Arabidopsis thaliana: one gene and its partner. The protein of the gene in region 1 interacts with the protein of each later gene in a pairwise test. Each region holds a gene or a part of one and is shown on either strand. Other genes may lie near its edges.

Region 1 (11,287 bases):
TCAATTCCATCTTTCCCAATATTCCACGCAGTTCTAAGAACTGTTCAACAAAATCACACAAACATTATTACTAAACTCTGTTGCAACAATTTCTTCATCAATCAATGACCCTTTTGCTCAATTTCATAGACATAGCTATCAAAAGAACAAAGTGAGGGTAAAGAACAAACCTTTCAAGAAACTGGACTGAGCAGACAAAACAAGGGTTTTGGACCGAAGTCGTTGTGGTTGAAGAGGAGCAATTCGAGTTCTCAAGTTGAGTAAAGATGCGTTTTTTAACTTCAAAACAGAGCATGGAGAGAGGAATGGAGAATTGGGGAATTGGGTTAGGGTTTGTAAGAATCTTGGAGCGAGAGGCGAAGGATTCAAAGATAGAGAAGAAGCCATGACATGTGATTGCTAAAGCCGCTTGATTTACTACTCAGATTCTCTACAAGAAAAGACAAAAATTGGCCTGTTTTAGATAAGAAATTGAGATTGAATTGAAGCTGAGAAACTAATCGGTTTGAGTTCGGTTTGAGTTGAGTTTCGGATCGCTTTCGGTTATTGATAGATTCGTCGGCTAACCGACTGTATAACCGAATAGGAACCGATCATTTTTTTTTTTAATATCTCGACCTTTACATTTCTGAGAGACAGTGAATTCATCTCTTTTGGAGAAGAGATCCCTTCTAACATGCCTCGAACTAATCATCTCCATCTGGAAGATTTATGACTGGACCAATAACTCGTTGACCACTCACAAAAGTTTTCAATCAAGATTTACAAATATATCAAATTATTTTTATTAAAACAAACACATGAGTTTCTATATGATCATATCATAACCCGATTTATTCTTACCTAATAATGCAATATGTTTTCTCGATACAAACCAGAAGTGTAAAACAGATTAAAACAAACTCATTAGGTAAATAACATCTTATTTAATATAGTCAAATTTAGCGTGTTATTATTTGAGGTTCTTGGTGTTCATGCTTCTCTCAACGGTCTTGGCTGTGGCTTTAATAGACTCCTTAGTTTCCTCAGTTTTTCCGGTGACCGTATCTTTGATCTTCTCCGTAGTGTCCTTCACCTTATCCCAGGCCTCCTCTGCAGTGTTCTTTGCCTTATCCTTCAAGTTACCCGCCGCATCGGAGATCGTCTGTGCCCCTTCGTCTGCCTTCTTGGCCACCTACACCAATCATGTTTAGTTTGGATAACGGAAGCATAAAACCAAATGTAAAGACAATTACAAATAAAGAAACAAAACAGATTTTTTCTTTTAATATTGTTTGTTACAAATTTACAATCTATATATTATAACTAACTATTTCAAAAATTAAAACAAAATCTATGTGGTAGTTATAAATGTAAAAGTCAAATACAAACTATACTTAAAATATTCAAACACAAATTTGACATGTAAACGCAAATGCACATTGCAAAAAATGATGTTTAAAACATTAAGGCCACAGTTCTTCTTCTTCTTCTTTTAAACTTTAGGAAAATAGCTAGGATACCTTTTGTTGAGCCTCTGTGGCTTTGTCACAGACGGAGTCTTTCCTCGTAGAAGTAGTCCCCTTAAATCATTTAAAAAAAAATGAAGGATAACTAAAATTTGTTACAAATATTAAATAAATATGTATGATAAATTCATACGAAAAGTAAAAGAGATTACATGGACGAGTCTTGTCGGGACGGAAGCACGAACTCTAGGAGCTCTTGTAATGAGTCTTGCAACGACCGCGAAGCTTGTCATGTCTTAGGCCTCTTCTTTCTGTTGATTAGTAATGTGATTAGTTTGTTAATTAGTTGAGTTTGAAGGATTTAAGTATATATAAGAGAATTGAGAAAATGTATAGGAGATGAGGTGCATGTGAAGAAGACACATGGTTTGATTTGGATGGCATAGTGGGGAGGTTGACTCGGGACATCCGATGGTTCAAGTTTTAATTTGCTATTTAGAGATGTGTTAGTGTGTGACACAATCCTTGGCGTCTGTTTTTCCTTATTTGATGCTTGTTCATTGACCAATTGAGAATAAAAAAATGTTTGCATTACGGAATTTTAGTATCATTCTGGAATAAAGTATGTTTGAGTTAAGACAAATTTTTTTTGTATGTAATGAATATAAAGATGGTAAAAGTAACGTTCACAATTTTTTGTGAAATTAACTAGACGAGAGGATCAATTTATGGCACATGTTTTGATAGTGGTTTTTAGAGATTAGTTTAGTAAAATCTGTTTTACTGAAATTTTCATTTTGCAGTGTTTTTTTTTTGTTTAAAAGATACTGTATTATATTTTTAACGTAAAATTTCAAAAGGAAGCTCACTAATTCTGTTTGAATTTAATTCATTATAATCATTGATATATTAAAATAAGCATATTTGTATAAGATTTTATAATATATTGTGAATGTGTAAAACGGAGAATTCTTGAGTAGGTGGGGTTAGTGAACACATTCTCATCAGAATTCTTTTGACGAATTCGAATAATTCAAGATATCATAAGCTGGGATCCGAAAAATTCAAATAATTCAACTAATCATATATTGGAAATCCAATGGCAATATCACAGTACTACTATACTAACGTTCTTCTTCTTTCATAAAATTAATAATATTTATAACCAAAAATATTTAAAAGATCTACTATGATATGTTTCCCCTAAAAAACATTTCTAAATCCGCCACTAAGTATTTGATCGGATGATCATGCACAACAAGATAATATGAAAATTGAATCAACAAGATAAGTAAGTCACAAGTCATTATCACATCTGTACAACAAATTCAAAGTTTCTTATTAATTTTGAGATAAAACTTTAAAGGATAGTGCTTCTTTTTTTTATGAAACAAACAAAGATATACAAGGCTTACAAGTCCAAACCATTATAAGTAGAATGGACCAACAAGTCAAGTCTAGAATTCTGAACAACACTTTATTATCTCTCCCAACACCAAGAAAGAGGAAATAGGTGAGTTTGATGAAACCTAAGTATATTTACAGACACAAGAAAGATAAGAAGCTTGAGGAGACAATTTCTCACAAAACCCACCAAGATGAAACCCATTAGAGACGCAATATTTGTTGCAACGTGGTAATTTCGCACATTCTCCGGCTACGTACAGCCATTCCGTCCGACCACTCTTCCCATCCCGTCTTCCCGCGGTTGTGCTCATAGTCCGGCCTGGAGTAGTAGCCATCCCTTCTGCATCATCATATCCAAAAGATTTGGTATTTTTCCAAAAGAAAAGAAAAAGATCTTAACCGGAGATAAAGTAATATATTCCATGGATCATACAATTTATATATACCTGAAATTAGAAGAGCAATGTATAAGAAGAGAAAGAGGTAAATGAGCTTCACGGCCATTCTTGTCTTAGTCAAGTGCTCTCTCTTCACTCTTTAATTTGCCTTCGTTTGTAATCTTAATGTTCTTCTAATTATAGCAAAACGCATTATTTTATATCGATATGTGTATGTCCCTAGATTACTTTATCTAGTTTTATATACCTAAACATCGTCTACTTTTGCTGCCAAATAATTTCGACCCGTAAATAGTGCGGAACCATACTTTATTTTAATAAATACATAGCACTATCAACAAAAATATATATTTTGTCGATTACAAATATTTAGAAAGATGACTATGGACTCTAAAGGTTAGGGTCACTAATAAAGTGTAAAAATTTTAAAGAAGGGAAAATGGGTTAGTTGAGTCTTTTACATAAGTTATTCTACTATTGGTATTGCACACAAAGTCAAAAGTATGAGAGGAGACCAAAAAAAAAAAGAAGAAGTCAAAAGTATGAAAGGGGAGACAATAAAAAGATCAAAAGTATGAAAAATGATATTTTAATTTTCTAATTATTATGTTTATATATTGTCCACGTTTCCTATGGGTTCTAAATATTCGGGTGGTTTTTTCGGTCCGTTTGATTTGACAAATCAATATCAAGAAAAGTTGTTTAATAGAACAAAACAGATTCGGAGCGCACAGAACGAAAACATATTACATGATTCGTGAGGAAATAAAAACAAAAACAAGGTTGAACAAATATGAGAACAAGTCTTCCAGGTAAGAACATTCAGCGACCTTTTATGAAATATATAAACTCCAAAAAAGGAGAATCGATAAATTTAAGAAGGAAAATGAAATATTTTCGATAAAAATCTTAATCGATGTATAAAAATATAATTTAAAATATGAACATAAATTTGATAAATACTTATATATAATGCATCAAGAACCGTCCATAAATATAGTATATCATTAAACACACGATGAATCATATACAGAAAAGATATTCGAAAGAGGATAAGGCCGAAATGACGATGTAAAATAAATAGAACTACTAATAAAAAGAAGAAGGATCGGCTGAAAAGAAGAAGAATCGGACTTGTCTTCGAAGTCAGTGTGTACCGACTAAAAATAAAGAGCTCTCAAAGAATGAGCAGCAAGTGGCGTACGTACTCCTCGAAGAATGAAAAGCAAAATACAACGAGTCCCACAACCTGAAGTTTTCCATAAGAAGAATTAGATTATGATACTTATATAAAAATATTTCATTGTTTGCAATTATTTATTTACACAGGTAATAAAAAAAAAGCATAAAGAGAAATATAGTTCACCTTTTTTTAATATAAAAATTCACTCTTTCAAAGCTCATCCAAATTCATCGAAATTTATATAACAATTAGTCCATGCCATGTAATTAAAAGCATCCAAATTCATTTCACTCATTCAGACAAATTTTGAGAAAATTAGAAATACATTGGCAATAATATTTTCTTTAAAAGTTATTTCTGCGAAAATTTTGTTGGTGGATAACTATAAGAACCTAACATAGTTTTGTTTTATGAATGGCCTAGTCTTTGTTTATTGTTGAAATAGTTGCCAAGTTTATCGTCTCTCCCGGGCTTTACGGAAGCACAAACCACTGATTTACCTTTGAACACCAAAGAGAAAAAAAAAAAACTTAAATAAGGTTTCTGCCTATCTATTGATTTACTATTTTGGTATAGAACAAATTTCAAATCCTTAAATCTGTGACACTTTCTCGATTCTTCCTCATTTTCGTGCATCCCACGTTTCCTTGATTTGTCATAATTAAGGCTTCCACAGATTTAGAAAAATTTGTAGTTGCATACTATAATAATCTGTCGAACAATTTACTTTGATTCTCCGTACAATTAAATTCTCTCTCGTTCTTGGGAATATTAAAAGTAAAAAGTTTGTATTTGTAGAGAAGAAAACAAAAGAAAGGTTTTGGTACCATGGTTCCATCGTTGGAACGAGGAATAAGCATCACGAGTTCATTCAATCTTGATAGAATGTTTGATTCCTCACCGGGAAAAGAACAACAACAACCTCATCTCGCGGAAACAACCATGCCGGAGAGTCAAACTCAAGACAGCCTCGGTGGAAGTCCCGTGGAGACTAGCCGCCCGATGACTTCTCGTCTGATTTCCCGTAGACAGGACAAGCAACAATCCGGTGATTAAAGAAGAAGTTTCATTATTTCTGTTCGTTTAAGAACTAAGAACTCTAGAGATATATATCAAAAAGCTTACAATTTTGCGGGTTTAAACATTGTAGAGACGGAGATGATGAAAGATAGATTCACGAAATTACTTCTTGGAGAAGATATGTCTGGTGGTGGTAAAGGTGTATCTTCTGCTTTGGCACTATCAAATGCCATCACGAATCTAGCCGGTAAAAAAGTAACTCTAATAGTTTTTTTTTTTTTAGTTTTCTTCCTCCACAAGTTACATAGAATCAATCTATGGTTTGGTTTAATTTTTATGTGTAGCGTCAATATTCGGGGAACAGACAAAGTTGCAGCCGATGGCACCGGATAGACGAGCGAGGTGGAAGAAAGAGATCGATTGGTTGTTGTCCGTGACTGATCACATCGTCGAGTTTGTTCCATCTCAACAGATTAGTAAGGAAGGAGTCTGCACCGAGGTTCCATTTCTTGAAACTTATAACTATCAATTTCATATTCATCAACATCAGAGATAATATTCTGATTCAATGACTATGTCTAGATTATGGTGACAAGACAAAGAGGTGATCTCCTCATGAACATCCCTGCCCTTCGCAAACTCGACGCCATGCTCATTGTAAGTGTGTCCCTTATATATTATATACATGTATGTTATGCAATAACTTTGATAGAACGATATTGAAACATGTTAGGATACATTGGACAATTTTAGAGGACACAATGAGTTTTGGTATGTATCGAGAGATTCAGAAGAAGGGAAACAAGCACGGAATGAGAGGACAAAGGACAAGTGGTGGCTTCCTCCGGTTAAAGTCCCTCCTAATGGCTTGTCCGAATCAGCCCGAAGAATGCTTCATTTTCAAAAAGATTCAGTCTCACAAGTCCAAAAAGCCGCCATGGCTATTAACGCGCAAGTTCTGTCAGAAATGGCTATCCCTGATAGCTATATCGAGTCTCTTCCAAAGGTGATCTTCCTTTTTTGTCTTAAAACCGGTATATAGTTTGGATGATTTGCTTGCATTTATTTTAAAATATCATATACTATTTTAAGCAAATCAATAATGGTTATTAAGAAGACTTAGATTATTTTCAGAATGGAAGAGTAAGCCTTGGGGATTCGTTATACAAGAGCATAACAGAAGAGTGGTTTGATCCAGAGCAGTTCTTGTCAACACTTGACTTATCTACAGAGCACAAAGTGTTGGATGTGAAGAATAGGATTGAGGCCTCAATCGTTATATGGAAAAGAAAACTTCATCTAAAAGACAACAAATCTTCTTGGGGATCAGCTGTGAGCTTGGAGAAACGAGAGTTGTTCGAAGAGAGAGCCGAGACGATCTTGGTCTTGCTTAAACAAAAGTTCCCTGGTCTTCCCCAATCTTCCCTTGACATTTCCAAAATTCAGTATAACAAGGTAATGCTCAAATGTTATTGCTTTATTTTGTTATTCCGATATGATCGGACAAATCATCATCTAGGAAAGATTCTGAAAATATTGGTGGTCATGAATCATATATAAATTTTTGATATAACATTTTTTAGTAAATTTTAAATAAGATTAACAACACTAACTAACCGTACTTTGGTTGTATATTATATGGTGGTTCATTTGTCACTTTATGTGTTCTAACTATAGGATGTGGGACATGCGGTTTTGGAGAGCTACTCAAGGATATTAGAGAGCTTAGGGTACACGGAAATGTCGAGAATCGACGATGTACTTTATGCGGATTCTTTAGCCCGGAAGCAATGCACAGGTGAAGAAACATCAGATGGTGGGAAAATAGCAACGGAAACGGACTCAGCGTCTGCTGGATCTTCGAACTACTCAGGAGAGGAAATAGAGAAGCTTGAATCACAAAACTCATCAAAGACGACATTGCTTGATTTTATTGGTTGGAGTGACAATAGTTCAAAAGGGCAGTCAGAGAAACCTCCAAAATCTCCGAGAATGACGCCAAAGAAACTCTCATATTTGGAGAAGCTTGAGAACTTAAATGGTTTTAGGAGCCCTAAAGATAGGCATTGAAGATGAATCAAAAGACATGTGAACAACTAAAATGATACAATTGAAGAAGCCATATAAGTGTGTATATTTAGGCAAAAGAATGAAACAATTAGCAATTAACTATTATCTTCCTTCCAGTTTTGTTTCTTGGACAGAGAAGTAAAACAACATGTTACCCCCACATCAATTCTCAATAATTTTGTTTTGATAAAAACAAATCATTTACTATAAAATAAAATAAAAAATTCAGTTACTAATTCATTTTATTGTATAAAAATCATATTGAGAAAATAAAAACAAACTACAAACAGCAGCCACATTTGACTACTTAATTAACAGTTAATTAGTAATATGTTTGAGTACTATGCAGAATATGTAAACTAAAAAAGAAATGTCATCATAATTTTTTCTTTTTGTGTGTGTGCACATGAAGTCGTTTGCTCCGATAAGAAAAAAATTGAGTAGCAAAGATACGATTTTCTTTTAATTTTTGGAAAAATCCAAAAACAAATCCAAAATAATTTTAATTGGACGATTATTATCCGTTATTTTTATATTAGAATAAAAATACCCCAACTAATTATTTGTGATTTTAAAATACTTCATAAATTAATAATTTGTGGAATTAAACTCGTAATTATTTATATACAAAATATATTAAAATTACTAATAATTAGATGAGGTATTTTTATTTTAATACAAAAATATCAGATAATAATCGTCTAAAGATAAATCTCACTTTTTTCTCTTTATTATTTAATATTCTGATCTTTGCGGATGTAATATTTTCTTTATTATTTATAGTATTTATATCCACCATAAAATAAAACATTTATTTATAACACTTTGGACTTTTTTTTGTTGAAATTTTCGTTTTTTTTTTCGTTTTTTTATCATAGAATTGATAAATAAAAATAGAAATGTAACTTTGGAAAATAGAGTTTGCATTAAGAGTTTGTATAACTAATTTTGACTACTCAAAACCATATTTACTTAAAAGATTATGATTTTAAATTTTGTGAATCCAAAGTTTCGGCCGGTTTTAACGGTTTAACCCAAATCCAGTTTTTAACTTAAATCCAAACTCGGCTACATGAACGATTTCTAATTTGATAGTAAGCCCTGGTAAAGCCCAAACTATGATAAGCCCAACAACGTCCGTAGCGGTGTGTGATGTTGAGCACCGTCAGATGTAACAGTGGACACGTGTCAGAATCTTAACGAGTGAGAAAACCCTAGCGCTCCATATTTATTTTCTGTATAAAAACCCAAAGAGAGAGAGAAGCTTATCATCTCTCAAGCTACAAATTGCTCTCGTAATCAAATCCTTATACTTTCTCCAACCCTTACTTTTGTTATTGTCGTATTACAAAATTGTTTTTTTTTTTCTTCCGGACAGTGACGATTGATATTTAAGGTCTCGTTCGTCGTAAAAACGGCCGTAAAAAGCCTATTTGCCGACCATTCTGTTATATCACCACCCATATTCTGAGTCCTACTTTTTGACTTTTGTTTTTCAATCTTTCTTCTAATCGATTTTTTTGGCCAATGATTTAATCAAAAAAATAGACAAGCATATGTCTGAATTAATCCTTGTTGATAAAATCTAATCTTCTCTATGAGGCCAAACAATCTTTGGTTTGTTTTTGTTTATTTGGAAAAAAGGGTCAAGTGATGATTAATAATGCATAGTTCAAATGATCTCCATGATTACTATTCAGTAGCACAGTCTTTCGCTCCTATCTGATGGCCCTCCACTTTTTTTATTGATGCAATGTTATTGGAGCTGTGTTTTTTTAACTCCGCTTAATGGGCCTTTAAAGGCCCAACTAGTGAAAACTAGAAAATACTACAATCTGATAAAAGTTTATTACAATCTATTTTTTCATTGTTTTCAACAACGACACATTCTACAACTATAAGAAGTGTTTACATGAACAAATCGGTTCTGTTATATATATGTTTTTTATACATAACATGTACGTTTACAATTTTCTTAAAACACATCCGAGGAAGATGTTTGTTATGTGCCTGGAAAAGAGCTAGGTGTTGTGCTTTGTAAGATGATGAAAGCGCAAACAACAGAAAGAGAGAAAACAGAGACCCAAGTATTCTCTGTATACATCTCCATCGCGTCTGTTAACGACAACCTCGTCCTGTTCTCTGCCCAGTTCCTTAGTCTATCTGCTTCTGCTGCATATAACGCCCGTCCCTGCAAACACGTACACATCTTTGCGTCAGCTCAGGCTTAACCAAGTGAAGGATTTGTCAAAAAACTTGAACTAGAACTCAAGTGTAACACTTACTTGGTCATCAAACCATCGGCCTCTCCTTAGCCAGGAAGTGACAATAGCTAACAATATCCGAGGAGGAGTTAGGTAATTGACGGCTTTTCCCGAACCTTTCACAACTCGCATTCGTGGTACCAAAGTTCTAGCTACTGTCTCAGGAAGCTCACAGATTATGTTAAACATCTGCTTGTTTTTAATGCTCGAACCACTGCCAAATAAATGGTTGCTTCAATAAAACTCCGGAGCATTCTGTTCTAGGCCTTAGTGACAAAGTGTATGCATACCTGAGAAGAAGTTCTGTCAGAACCATGCCAGGGGATGCAGTGTGAAGGCCAACGTTTGTTTTTTGGCTTTCTTTCACTATAGACCCATGAAACTGCCTAAGTCCACATTTTGTTGAACCATATCTGCGAAAGCTCACAGACTCAGAAATGTGTTCTAATTCATTAGAGACTAGTAACGAATGATTTGAGTTCTTACACGGCAGTGAGAGGAGTACTTGAACCTCCAGAGCCAGCACCATCCATGTTAAAGATGTGTCCACCACTGTGCTGTCTGCTCATCACATCCATAGCCCCTCGTGTACATAGAATTGATCCAATCAAATTTGTGGAGACAATCTACAAAATAATAGTTACAATTAGACTAATGAACTTCACCATAAGCTCAAGCTGAAATTAAGCTTTAGGTTCAAAAAGGATTTTACCTGTGTGATATCTTCTTCCGTGAACTCGAGTAGCGGTCTAAAACCTTTGTTAGTACCAGCATTGTTTATCTATCCAAATGAATATAGACAGTGAGCAAACATATGACTAAAGATACAAAAAAAGTTACAAACTGTACAAAAAGAAATATGTTTCTTTACCCATATGTTGATGGAACCAAGCTCTTTTACAGCGAAATTCGACAGCTTCTCAACGTCTTCGGGTTTGCAAACATCACAGGCAATACCAACTACCTTAGCATCACTCAGTTTCTTTCTAGCTGACTCGCTAGCGTTACTCATAATCTCTTTGAGATTTTGCTCTAGCTCTTTGACAGTCATATCAACAGATTCAGAACTGATTTCACAAACAAAAACCAAAAAACAAATCATATTAAGACTTCATTGCTTGATAAAAACTAATCCATAATTCCATATATACAATTTATCAACCTGCGAGATGTGACAATGACTCTGTCTCCAGAGAGAAGAAACTCTCTAGCAAGAGCTTTCCCTAGTCCCCTAGTGCTAAAACACAGCATAAAAACATACATCAGCATCAAACCAAAACACAAAGAAACAAAAATCAAAAAATGCAAAAACAAAAGTAAAGAAGGTACCTTCCGGTTATAACAACATTCCGTGGACCGGCTCGATAATGATCTTCCAAAACCATGTTAGCACCAGTCATGGTTCCAATGATAATTCCACCAAGCCAACTATACCAAACCAATGAGTTCATCGAACTATCTCCACCTTTCATCACAAATACATACACTCAAAATCTC
Region 2 (10,847 bases), on another chromosome or scaffold:
TCTTCACCATCGTTGGTCTGCACAATTTTCACATATGTCATTGCATGCAACAAAACAAAAAAAGATTTAATCATCATGTGTGCTTACATTGGAGCGCAGAACAAGCCGAAAGAAATCACGTTTCCTAAACATATAACAGACAAACAAAGACATGAGCAAATGTTTTTGTTGTTGATTGAATTAAACTTTATGTTTGAGTAAATTGTGGAGGACTTACCAACGATTCCGACGATCGTCCGGGCGGTGTGGGGGTCCGTCATTTTTCTTTGTTTCTAAAGAAGAATTCTTTATCTTCTACAGATTTTATCAAAGAACTAATTTATATTTTATAAAAATAAAAGAAGAAGAGAAACAAAATATGTTGATGATTTCGATTCTTCTTTTCGATGATTCTTGTTTATAATTTTTTTCTTTAGTACTGCGTTTCTTTTTTGTTTGTTTCTGATTTGTGATGTGAGTTTTGTTTGTTTGATGAAATAGCTTTTTTTTTTTTGGTGTGGTTTCTAGGTTCTGTTTTTGGTTTTTTGATATTTGGATTATTTTTGGTTTCTGCTTTATGAACAGAGAAAAAAGAAAAAGTGGATTTTAATAGTGAGTCTGTGAATCAGCAGAATCTGGGTAGAGTAACAAACGCATGACACGTGGTTTCAAATTTGAGCCATGAAGCCGTTGACTCCGCTCGTACCCCATGCATGAGAAACACCCGGCTCTTCACTCACATTAATACCTCTGTCTCTCTCTCTCTCTCTCTTTCTCTTTCTCAAACATAATTACATTTACTATTACTACATCTTCATTATGTATAAAGAGTTTGTTGTCTCATATTCATGTCATAGTAAATGTTGTGTAGAGCATCTTGTATAGTATATACAATAATACAAAGCAAGTGAATATGTGCTGTAACCAAAAACTTTGTTAATAGCAACTTGTATTGATGAATAAAGAGAAGAGATTTTAGTTTTACTCTCTTTTTAGGTTTACTATGTAAACACTTTGCTATATATGAATCACTTAATATTCCTTTCTCATCAAGCTACGAAACTGCAAACGAATTGAATCAAGATGAAGAGAAACAGAACACACAAGCCTCAGGTTTCAGTGTGAGGCGCATCAATCGAAAATACTAAATTAATCTCTCATTGTTTCTTAATGTTTTCCCTTTAAATGTAGGTCGGTTAAGACTTGAGATCTAAAACCTAATGGGACATGAAACTGGGCTGCTTAGCTTATAAACTCTTTTGTATTGCCAATATATAGAAAATATCCAAAAAAACAAATGTCATAAACCCCCAAAAAATGTCAAAAACCAAAAATATATATGTGTTTTTCTTCGTTCAAGTTTAATGAAATAGAAAACTGACACCATGAAGAGAGGACGCCAAGAGAAGAAGACCTCACGATCTCCAAAACGACGACAACAACGTCAGAACGAAATCTCCGAGAGAGAAAATTCAAACGGTATACATATCCCTTTCGATGTAATAACCGATATACTCTCGAGACTCCCTGTTAAGTCACTTGTGAGGTTCCAATGTGTATCGAAGCTGTGGTCATCTCGTATCACCCTCTTGATCATGACTCGGTCATTATTCTCGCCCTCTACTTATCCTACTAATGATATATCATTCATATACCCAGACAAAGACAGTAATTATACATTAAACCATGGGCGAAGTTGGGATTTTAAGTATCAATAATTTTCGAGGACTCTTCTGTTGTTGGTCAAGCTCGATCTATAAACATACCAATAGGAAAACGATTTTATTACCGGAGGTAAAACACGATAGATGGAGCAACTCGTGTGATGGATTGTTCGGATATGATCCAGTTGAGAAACAAGTTTTCACATTAGTGGGAGGTCCAATGAAGCAGCAATGGAGGAGCCTTGACATCCAAGGCATTTGGAATCACTCTCCAGAAGCTAGGAGTAGTGGTTTATGTATCAAAGAGTTTATCTATTACATAGCACATGTAGAAAGCTGGGATGATCCCGAATTCTATGAGCTAGTGAGGTTCGACGTTAGACACGAAAGCTTTGATCGTATTCAGATGCCCATAACTCTGCAGATGAATCAGCAGCTCAGTGAAGTGAGTTTCGATGAATTGACTTTGGTAAACTACCAAGGAAAATTAGGATGCATACGTTACACCAAAGCTAGTGCAGAGATGTGGATTATGGAAGATCATATTGAGCAACAAGAATGGTCTAAGATGATGATATTTGAGAAATTAGGTATTGCATCGCTGGTGTCAGTCCTAATGGTGAGATTGTGATAATGCCAAAGACAGTGACATCTGCTCAATCTTTGTACCCCTCGTACTATGATCCGAAATGTTAGTTTGTTGTACCCGCCGGATCACATTTGTTCAACTCGTTCCCTTAGTGAATAGTAGTTTTTATAATAAATATCAATTTTGTTTTATCAAGTGTATTCCTAAAAACATTGTTAGGAAAGTAACTATCTTATAACGGATTCTAGCTCAAGATATTTATTTTTTCTAAGACTCGTTTTCACCAGCCTAAGAAATTGTTTAACACTTTTTATGATTCTCAATCGTGTTGATCGATAATTGAGTTTCTAAGGTTTTAATATTTACAGCCATGATTCGTAAAAGTGTCAAGTGTGCATATAATAACATAGAAAAAATAACAATTTCTTAATTTATATTACAAGTGTCAAGTGTGCATATAATAAATAGGACCAATCATAATCCTTTACAGCTAAAACTTGAATCAAGTTATATTATCATCACGAGTCTTTTGACCCAAGAAAAAACTTCTCTGAGTTTCGGCCCATGGAACTTTCGCAGTCGGACCCAACCCGAGATCCTGATACCCGGTACGATCAACGTTGCTGTTGTTTCCCCAGCTTCCGCCGATCAAGAAGCTCCACCGCCGTTGGTTACTCCTCCTGGGGACGAATTCGAACCGTCGATGACAGTAATCACAGCGGCGACCACGGCGACGAGCCACGTTGGTGGATCCGAGCATCCTTGAAGATCCGAGAGTGGTCAGAAATCGTTGCTGGTCCACGGTGGAAGACTTTCATTCGTCGATTCAATCGCGATCCACGACGCGGCCGCGATTGGGACGCAAGCGAGAAGTTTCAATACGATCCTTTGAGTTACTCTTTGAACTTCGATGACGACGACGAGGAGGATGAATACGTCGGACTAGGTGGATTACGAAGCTTCTCGACCCGATTCGCTTCTGTCCCGGTTTACTCAGGTAAAGCTCCGGCGATTTCGCCGACGTCGTTGTCTGCGTTGACGCCGCGTAATGAGATCATTGAAAGTTAGTGGGCGCGTGTGAGAAACGCGTTTGCGTTTCTGGCGGCGGGGAAAAGGCTGTCAAAATGGTTGACTGGTTTGGTTTACATCGTTTTTGGAGTCTGTCGCGTTTTCTTATTTAATCATTCTGTTTATATAATCAACTTTGAATTAATTTTATTATTTTCCCAGTTTAATTAATTTATTTATCAACCAAATTTTATGTTTCTTGAAAGAGAAGCAATATTTTGTTTCTTTTTTGAGGGGATATTGAACTTGTTGTGGCTAATATAATATAATTTTATGTAAATTAGCTGTTTAGCATATGTGGAAGTAATGATTTAGTTAATCATGGTTGCTTGACATGATTTCTTTATTTTTATAATCTATACTCATTTTTAAAATTCCACTCAAAAACTTTTCTGTTTTCCAAAGATATAGTTACCGTTAAAGCCGAGTAAAGAGAAGAAACTATCAATCGTTTGGGGTAGTATGTAATGAACCAACAACACTTTTCCCAATTCAAACTTCAAACCTTTCTATTGGAAGCCATAAACGAATGACGATCATTGATCAAAACATTCAAATACATTTTTTCGTTTCTCTCAATTTATTAAGGAACTACATAACGATTTACATGTTCTAGAGAGAAAACTGTACCGAAGAATCGATTCACCTTCAGATTCATAAGAATGGTTCAAAATTCATAAGACCAAAAGAAACAGCAAATTAAAGAAAACAATAAAAGAAGGGACCGATAGGAACAAAGAGGGAGAAAACACGTGACCTGGCAAGGGACTTCCATTACGTGGGTCGGCTCGTTTCGGATGTGGCCCATATATTGAGTTGTCGGGCCCGTTGCATTTGTTTGTTGAGTTCATATGATATATTCGAAAAAACTTTTACTTTTTCAATATTAACCCAACTTCAAATCCAATAACCATATTTCTTACTGCCAAAACTCGGATTTGTGATCTTCAAGTCTTTTTCACTTTATGGATAATTTCCACTGTTAATCACGTTTTGCTTTTACGCGCATCAACTGTTGTGGAAATATATATTTATCGTTTGTTCTTGTTTCTTTTCAATGACGCTATCCTTACACCAGCACGACATATGCTCCTGTTACATGTCTTCCTTAGAGACCAAAAGTTATGGATTCACTTGTACACACATACACATATATTGATTTAGTTTAATGTGATTACTAGTCTCCTTTTGCGATTTTCGTTCTTACTAGTCTCTATATTTATCTGGTTTAGGCCATACTTTTGTCATTGTATTGTATTATTAATCAGCTACTTTAATTTGTACTTGTATTTTGGAGCTTTTGGTGGAAATAACTTGCAAAATACTAAAATATTGGACCAGAGAGCGATAAGTTCCCGTGGTCGTCCTTTTGAAGACCTCTCTAGTTAACAATACTTTTGCATTTTCATATTTATGGTGGTTGCGTCGCCGTCGATATAGTCGTAGGTATTACTCCAATAATTAACTTACCTTATAAAATAAAATCATTTATCTTCTGCTTTTGGTAGATGTTCACACAGTTTGGCTCCAACATCCACCTATAAATGATTATTTAAACACATGACAAAAACACTTTTACTTTCTAAACCATGAGTCTGCAATTATATCCATAAACAAACAAAAAGGAACTATTTGGTAAGAGTATTCAATTTTTAATAACTGTATTAAAAGTTGCTTTGTGAATATTGAGAATTTTTATTGCTGGTTGTTGCCAACGAAACTCTTGTTGGCAATTTTAAATATCTTGAGTAAATTAAATTAGATGATAAGTTTTTTTAAAAGTAGGTCCACATAAAAAAATCCATATATCCTAATATAATAAATGAATATCCTAAACTAAAATTACAATTTTAGAATTATCAGTTTTACACTTGTGAATTGTGATATAAGTAATGTTGAAAGGTTGGTCTTAGTGATTTTGCTATAAATTTTTGTTGCTATGATATTCTATTATTTTATATATTTTGTAACCCTAGCTTGTAAGTTATGCTATATACATTATATGATATGTAAGTCTCGAGAGAAAAACAAAAATAGCAAAACATGTATTCGACAGTACATGTTAATGTATACAAATATGGTATATCCATCTTCACTTGTCACTGTGTGGCTCAACGTGACACTATTATTAACTTGACGAATATCTACCTTCTCTTATAATTCGATTCGTAACGCCATACTTGTATGTAATACACATTATTTCATTTTCTTACAATCCAATACAAGTGTAATAAACACTTAAAAAAAAAAAAACAAGATTGAACCACCAAGATTTGGTTAACAAATTCCAATGCAAATTTGCTCGTTGGAGTAATAAATGAACTACAAGAATTTGGAAAAGGAAAGCTTGGACGATGGATCATGTGAGTCATCACCGCTCTTTCTCTATCTTCAAGTTCAAACCAAAAACAAGCCACCAAATACCAATAAACAATTTCGTTTATCTAATTGGAAATATTGAAAAAACAAACAGAAAAAAGTAAAAAAGGAACAGAAAAAAAAGCCATAAATTTATGCAACAAACCCTACCTTCTTCTATGCTCTAAAGAGGGTTTATTTATCTTTTACTCCTCTTTTTAAGTAATCTCACTTCATTTATCTCTCTCTCTCTCTCTATTTCTTTTGCTTCCTTTTGGTATTTGCTTTGTATGTTTGTTTTGAGATCAAAATGGCTTCAAGTGCTTCAAAGTTCATCAAGTGTGTGACTGTTGGTGATGGTGCTGTTGGTAAAACCTGTATGCTCATCTGCTACACCAGCAATAAATTCCCCACTGTAAGTTCTCTTTAAAAAGACCTCTCTTTCTCTCTTGAATTTTGATCAGGAATCTCATCTGGATTTATCAGATTTAGCTCAAATTTTACAAAATTTTAATCAATTTCAGTATCTGGGTCTACTAAATTTCAGCTTCTTATTGCCATAAAGGTTCTTAGAATCTATCTGGGTATGTCAAAGTTAGCTCCTTTTTCCTAGGAACTGTGCATGATATAAGATCCATTTTTGGAGATTTTGATTTTTTTTACTTTTCATAAGTATGTGTGGCGCATCTGGGTTTTTGCAGCTTTTGTGTATAGTCCAGCTTTATGTTATCTTTTTTCATTTAACATCCTCTGGAGTCTGGATTCGTCAGACTTTTTCTTCATTGCTATTATTATTATTATTATATGTATATATGCTTGATTTGATGATTGAAAGTTTGAAACTGTGTATTGATTTGATGAATTGTTTGTAACAGGACTACATACCAACAGTTTTTGACAACTTTAGTGCAAATGTTGTTGTTGAAGGCACCACTGTCAATTTGGGGCTTTGGGACACTGCTGGTATGAACACTCTTTCTGAGTCTTGAATCCTATAGTGGTTTATAACATTCTTATTGGTCTAGTTCTTTCATTTGGTTGATAAATGAGATCCATTGAATAGCTTTGTCTCATATGAGGTTACATATGTATATCCTTTGTTTGCAGGGCAAGAAGACTATAACAGATTAAGGCCTTTAAGTTACAGGGGAGCAGATGTTTTCGTCTTGTCTTTCTCATTAGTCAGCCGAGCTAGCTACGAGAATGTTTTTAAAAAGGTCTGATTGAATAAATGATCCTTTTCTCTAATTGTTGAAAACGATAAGACTCTTATAGTGTCAGAATGAGTCATTTCTAATGTTATATGACTGTTCTTATTGAGTCAGTGGATCCCTGAACTCCAACACTTTGCTCCAGGAGTTCCCCTTGTCCTTGTTGGTACCAAATTAGGTAAGAATAACCGATGAGCATTTACCAACAGATTCCTCTTAACCGTTTAGTTACAATTCATAGCTAATGATTCTTACAACACTGGTGTAGATCTTCGTGAAGATAAGCATTATTTGGCTGATCATCCTGGACTATCCCCTGTAACTACTGCACAGGTTTAGTCTTAAAGAGCCTTTTTACTTTAGATTTCATATAATTCCACTATAAGGCTTGATGGTATTAACTAAATGAACATTTCTATCTGATAGGGAGAGGAGTTGCGTAAGCTAATTGGTGCGACGTATTACATTGAGTGTAGTTCAAAAACTCAACAGGTATATGAGGCAGCTTCTTTATGTTACTCTTTTCTTCGGATTAACAAAGCGATGAAGTTTATATATTGCAGAATGTGAAAGCAGTTTTTGATTCTGCGATAAAGGAAGTGATCAAACCTCTGGTTAAACAAAAGGAGAAGACTAAGAAGAAGAAGAAGCAAAAGTCGAATCACGGCTGTTTATCGTGAGTATATATACAAATCTTTACAAACTCTGCATCTACAATCTTATGAAGGGTACTGATTTCACCTTTGTGTTTATTTTGTATGTGCAGAAATGTTCTGTGTGGGAGGATAGTGACTCGGCATTGATGACGATGACCCAACTCAGTCTGATGATTTTAAACTCCACTTTTGAGATTGTGTGATAAACGAGAGACTTTATATTATATAGATTGAATCATGTAAGAGATTATTAGCCTCTAATCAATCAATAGTTACCTTGAAGAGAGAAAGAGGGGGAGGTAGAGAGCTTATTATTAATTCAATTGTGTTTATTTGTTTCAAACCTGTTATTGCAATATATTAGCCATTTTGATACAACAGAGAAGCTCTCTCTTCCTTCGCTTAACCCTGTGAAGACAAGCAGTTATTGTCCTACATTAGCAATCAAGTAATTTTATTTTGTTTGTTAATGTTGATCTCTTGTCGTTACATTGTCCAGTGTCAGTCAAATCACTGTCCTCAAAGTACAACTGACCAAACTTTGTCTCTCTTGACATAGACATTAAAACTTTCTACATAAGAGTCTCATATTTCAGTAGTCGCAGGCTAATTCCAGTCGGTTCCAATGACACATTGTCTTCAAGATTTTGAGACAGCAGTTCCAAAGGTTTTTTTATCTTCCACCTGACCAAAAAAAGGAGATTAAGCCATAAAAAGATGGAAGCGACGAACTCAGTCGAAGACTTTCCGATGAGACTCGAGTACACGAGAAACGACCACTGGACTCACCAGACCAGTCCCAAAGGCAAATAAATAACGGAGTAAAAAAAAAAAAAAAAACGCCGAGTTTCATCTAAACATAATAGAACAAATGTCAATGGGTCCGAGAGAGCCTGTAAGAGCATAAATGGGCTTTAATCGGGCCAAATTAAATGTAACTCTTTCTGTTGTTGTTTTTCCGGTGTACCTCTCTCTGTTTTTTTTTTAGCTCTTTTTGGAAAAAGCAACTTTTTCTTGATTTCTTTTTGACGTGAAAGCAGGCTTTTCTGTTAGGCAGATAAAAGCATATTTTTATTACTTAAGACCATTTCCTTCGTAAAAGAAAGCAAAAGAAATATATAAACCGGACAAGGTTAAAAGATATGCGACACTTACACATCAAGTCATAAATTAGAAACAACAAGAACATGATTACTTATTTATTTGAGTTGGTGAGATCGGAGTTACAACACACAAGTTTCTATTGGGTATGGGGAAGAGAGAATGACAGGAAGAGCAGGGAGAGGGCTCGTTAATCTAAACCAACCATGACCCAAGTAGCCAACCTTTTTTTTTCCTCTTCAAAATTTCACATTCTTTATTCGAGATTATACTACTTATAAAGTATAATAACTAGCTCATTCAAACAAAACAAAAAGTGCTGTAAGGATAACACTATCAACGCGTGTTAAGAAAAGTAACACTTTTGAACTTCTTTTTACCATTGACAAATTTTAATAGTTACAACCATGTCATTGCTTTATTTAACAATTTTAAAAAGGAAATCTAAAATGTACATAAACCTTTAGCTAATTTACAAATATATCATATTCTTAATGCATCTACAACAACCATATTATGAACTCTAAATACTAGGATTTGTAACCGGATTCGGTTTATTTGGACTACAAAGAGTAAAAATGGACTTTGTCCATCTCATCTAGCCAATGTTTTATAAGATTCTATATTGGGTGCATCATGCATGTGTCTCTCTTGCTCACACCCTACATCTACCCATCGTTTCAGCCACAATTATGTATATATTTTTTTGTCTTCAACATTTTAGCTCATATGCACCAAATTTTCATGAAAATGTTTGTTTATCAATCATATTCATCATGTGTTGTTAGCCATTAATTTCGATGAGATTGCAAATCTTGAAAAAAAAAATGGAATTATGTGGGGGAAAAAGTAAAGAATGGCACATGAAGAGAGTTTTGCGTAATTCCCAAAAGTAAAGCCAGAAAGATTTTTCTCCCACCCCATGTGCTTACTCTCCCCAGTCCCCACTTTTTCTTAATTAAATTCATATTTCTTCCATTTTTATTTTTCGGCTTTTAATTTCTTAGCATACTTTTAAAAAAAAAATATTGTCACACTTTTTAGGCCGATTTTGACTGAGTTACACAGGTCAATAATGCTCCCAATTCGGCGGACTATAGTTATTTTAGTGGACATTTGTGTTAACTAATTTTGTGGCAAAAAGAAACTCGGAACAAATTAAACCATAACTGATTTAGACTAAATTATATAATGTAATGGCCATTATGTATTAACTAAAGACAAAAGTAATACTACGATCTACGATAATACAAAAAAAAAATTCAGAATATCGCGTCATTATCAACTTGACACCAACTTGTGAGTCTCCCAAACTCAATGATTATGTGGTCATTATCGGTGGTGTTTTTAAAAAATACTATGAAAACTCGCTCTCACTAATATCAAGTGGCTTACACACTTGATTGACTAATCAATAGTTTATCACTACTACTATAATGTTTCAGGCTAGATTTTCCATCACGTGCCAAAAAATTCCTTCAAACAATTTAGCAAGCTAACCATCAAATTTAATTACGAATTTTTTTCTTTCATATCCACGTGGCGGATATTCAAACTTAATTATGTGTAACATATGAATGACGTAAATAATCTATGCACATCTCGTTTTACTGTTGTGTGTTGCTTTAAAGGCTATCATGGATAACGTGTGTATATGACCTTCGAGAAAATTTTGAAGAGATCCATTCAACAAAACATGCATGACATTTTGAATATATCCCAATTATTAAAGACTCAATAATTTTCAGAAGTATATTTTGGGTATAAACAGGTAACCGTACGTGTTGCTACACTTGCTATTGTCCATCTATAATGTGAAAAATATCAATTTAAACATTACTGTTTTTATGTAGTTTTTAGTTCATGTAGTATTTGATTATCTGGAGAAGAAGAAAAAAAGATGATAAATAAAAAAATTGTCGGCAATAGAAAACTGAGTTTAGGTCAAAATAGTTATGTACTATAGTTATTACCGACGTAAACACTGATAAATTGAAAACGATGCATCACTGGTTTTTGACAAAATGTCGAATTAGAACAAACATGACTCAGTGTATTAGAAAGTCAAAATATACACATTTCCTCTTGAATAGTAGTATTAGCTTGATAACTTTGTTTATCTTAATGAAATCGTATTAAAGAAGTTTAGTGCCGAGATTAAATCTCGAGTCCTATCACTCTATCAGGCACTAGAATATATAATGTCCCACTAAATTCGATA

Evidence for each region.
Region 2: the proteins of ROPGEF9 (region 1) and RAC10 interact in a two-hybrid assay, tested with the Arabidopsis thaliana proteins (one study listed by BioGRID).

Annotation. Positions count from the first base shown.
Region 1 is NC_003075.7:7,674,889-7,686,175, forward strand, and holds ROPGEF9 (RHO guanyl-nucleotide exchange factor 9), read left to right. Parts: upstream 1-5,061; 5' UTR 5,062-5,264; coding exon 5,265-5,484; intron 5,485-5,586; coding exon 5,587-5,703; intron 5,704-5,800; coding exon 5,801-5,955; intron 5,956-6,038; coding exon 6,039-6,113; intron 6,114-6,189; coding exon 6,190-6,462; intron 6,463-6,590; coding exon 6,591-6,911; intron 6,912-7,133; coding exon 7,134-7,526; 3' UTR 7,527-7,734; downstream 7,735-11,287. Other genes in the region: AT4G13220 (uncharacterized protein), read right to left, coding at 1-40, 171-387; AT4G13230 (Late embryogenesis abundant protein (LEA) family protein), read right to left, coding at 953-1,174, 1,503-1,562, 1,661-1,741; EDA21 (embryo sac development arrest 21), read right to left, coding at 2,978-3,195, 3,302-3,359; NYC1 (NAD(P)-binding Rossmann-fold superfamily protein), read right to left, coding at 9,529-9,717, 9,812-10,004, 10,081-10,203, 10,277-10,416, 10,503-10,571, 10,662-10,857, 10,953-11,027, 11,120-11,255. UniProt on the Arabidopsis thaliana protein: Guanine-nucleotide exchange factor (GEF) that acts as an activator of Rop (Rho of plants) GTPases by promoting the exchange of GDP for GTP.
Region 2 is NC_003076.8:25,231,268-25,242,114, forward strand, and holds RAC10 (RAC-like 10), read left to right. Parts: upstream 1-5,695; 5' UTR 5,696-5,968; coding exon 5,969-6,073; intron 6,074-6,533; coding exon 6,534-6,621; intron 6,622-6,765; coding exon 6,766-6,875; intron 6,876-6,983; coding exon 6,984-7,047; intron 7,048-7,137; coding exon 7,138-7,202; intron 7,203-7,295; coding exon 7,296-7,361; coding exon of another isoform or gene 7,362-7,432; coding exon 7,433-7,545; intron 7,546-7,635; coding exon 7,636-7,672; 3' UTR 7,673-7,995; downstream 7,996-10,847. Other genes in the region: AtVEX1 (Nodulin MtN3 family protein), read right to left, coding at 1-17, 88-124, 218-260; AT5G62860 (F-box associated ubiquitination effector family protein), read left to right, coding at 1,365-1,520, 1,774-2,274; AT5G62865 (uncharacterized protein), read left to right, coding at 2,797-3,300. UniProt on the Arabidopsis thaliana protein: Involved in local disassembly of cortical microtubules when associated with ICR5 and KIN13A.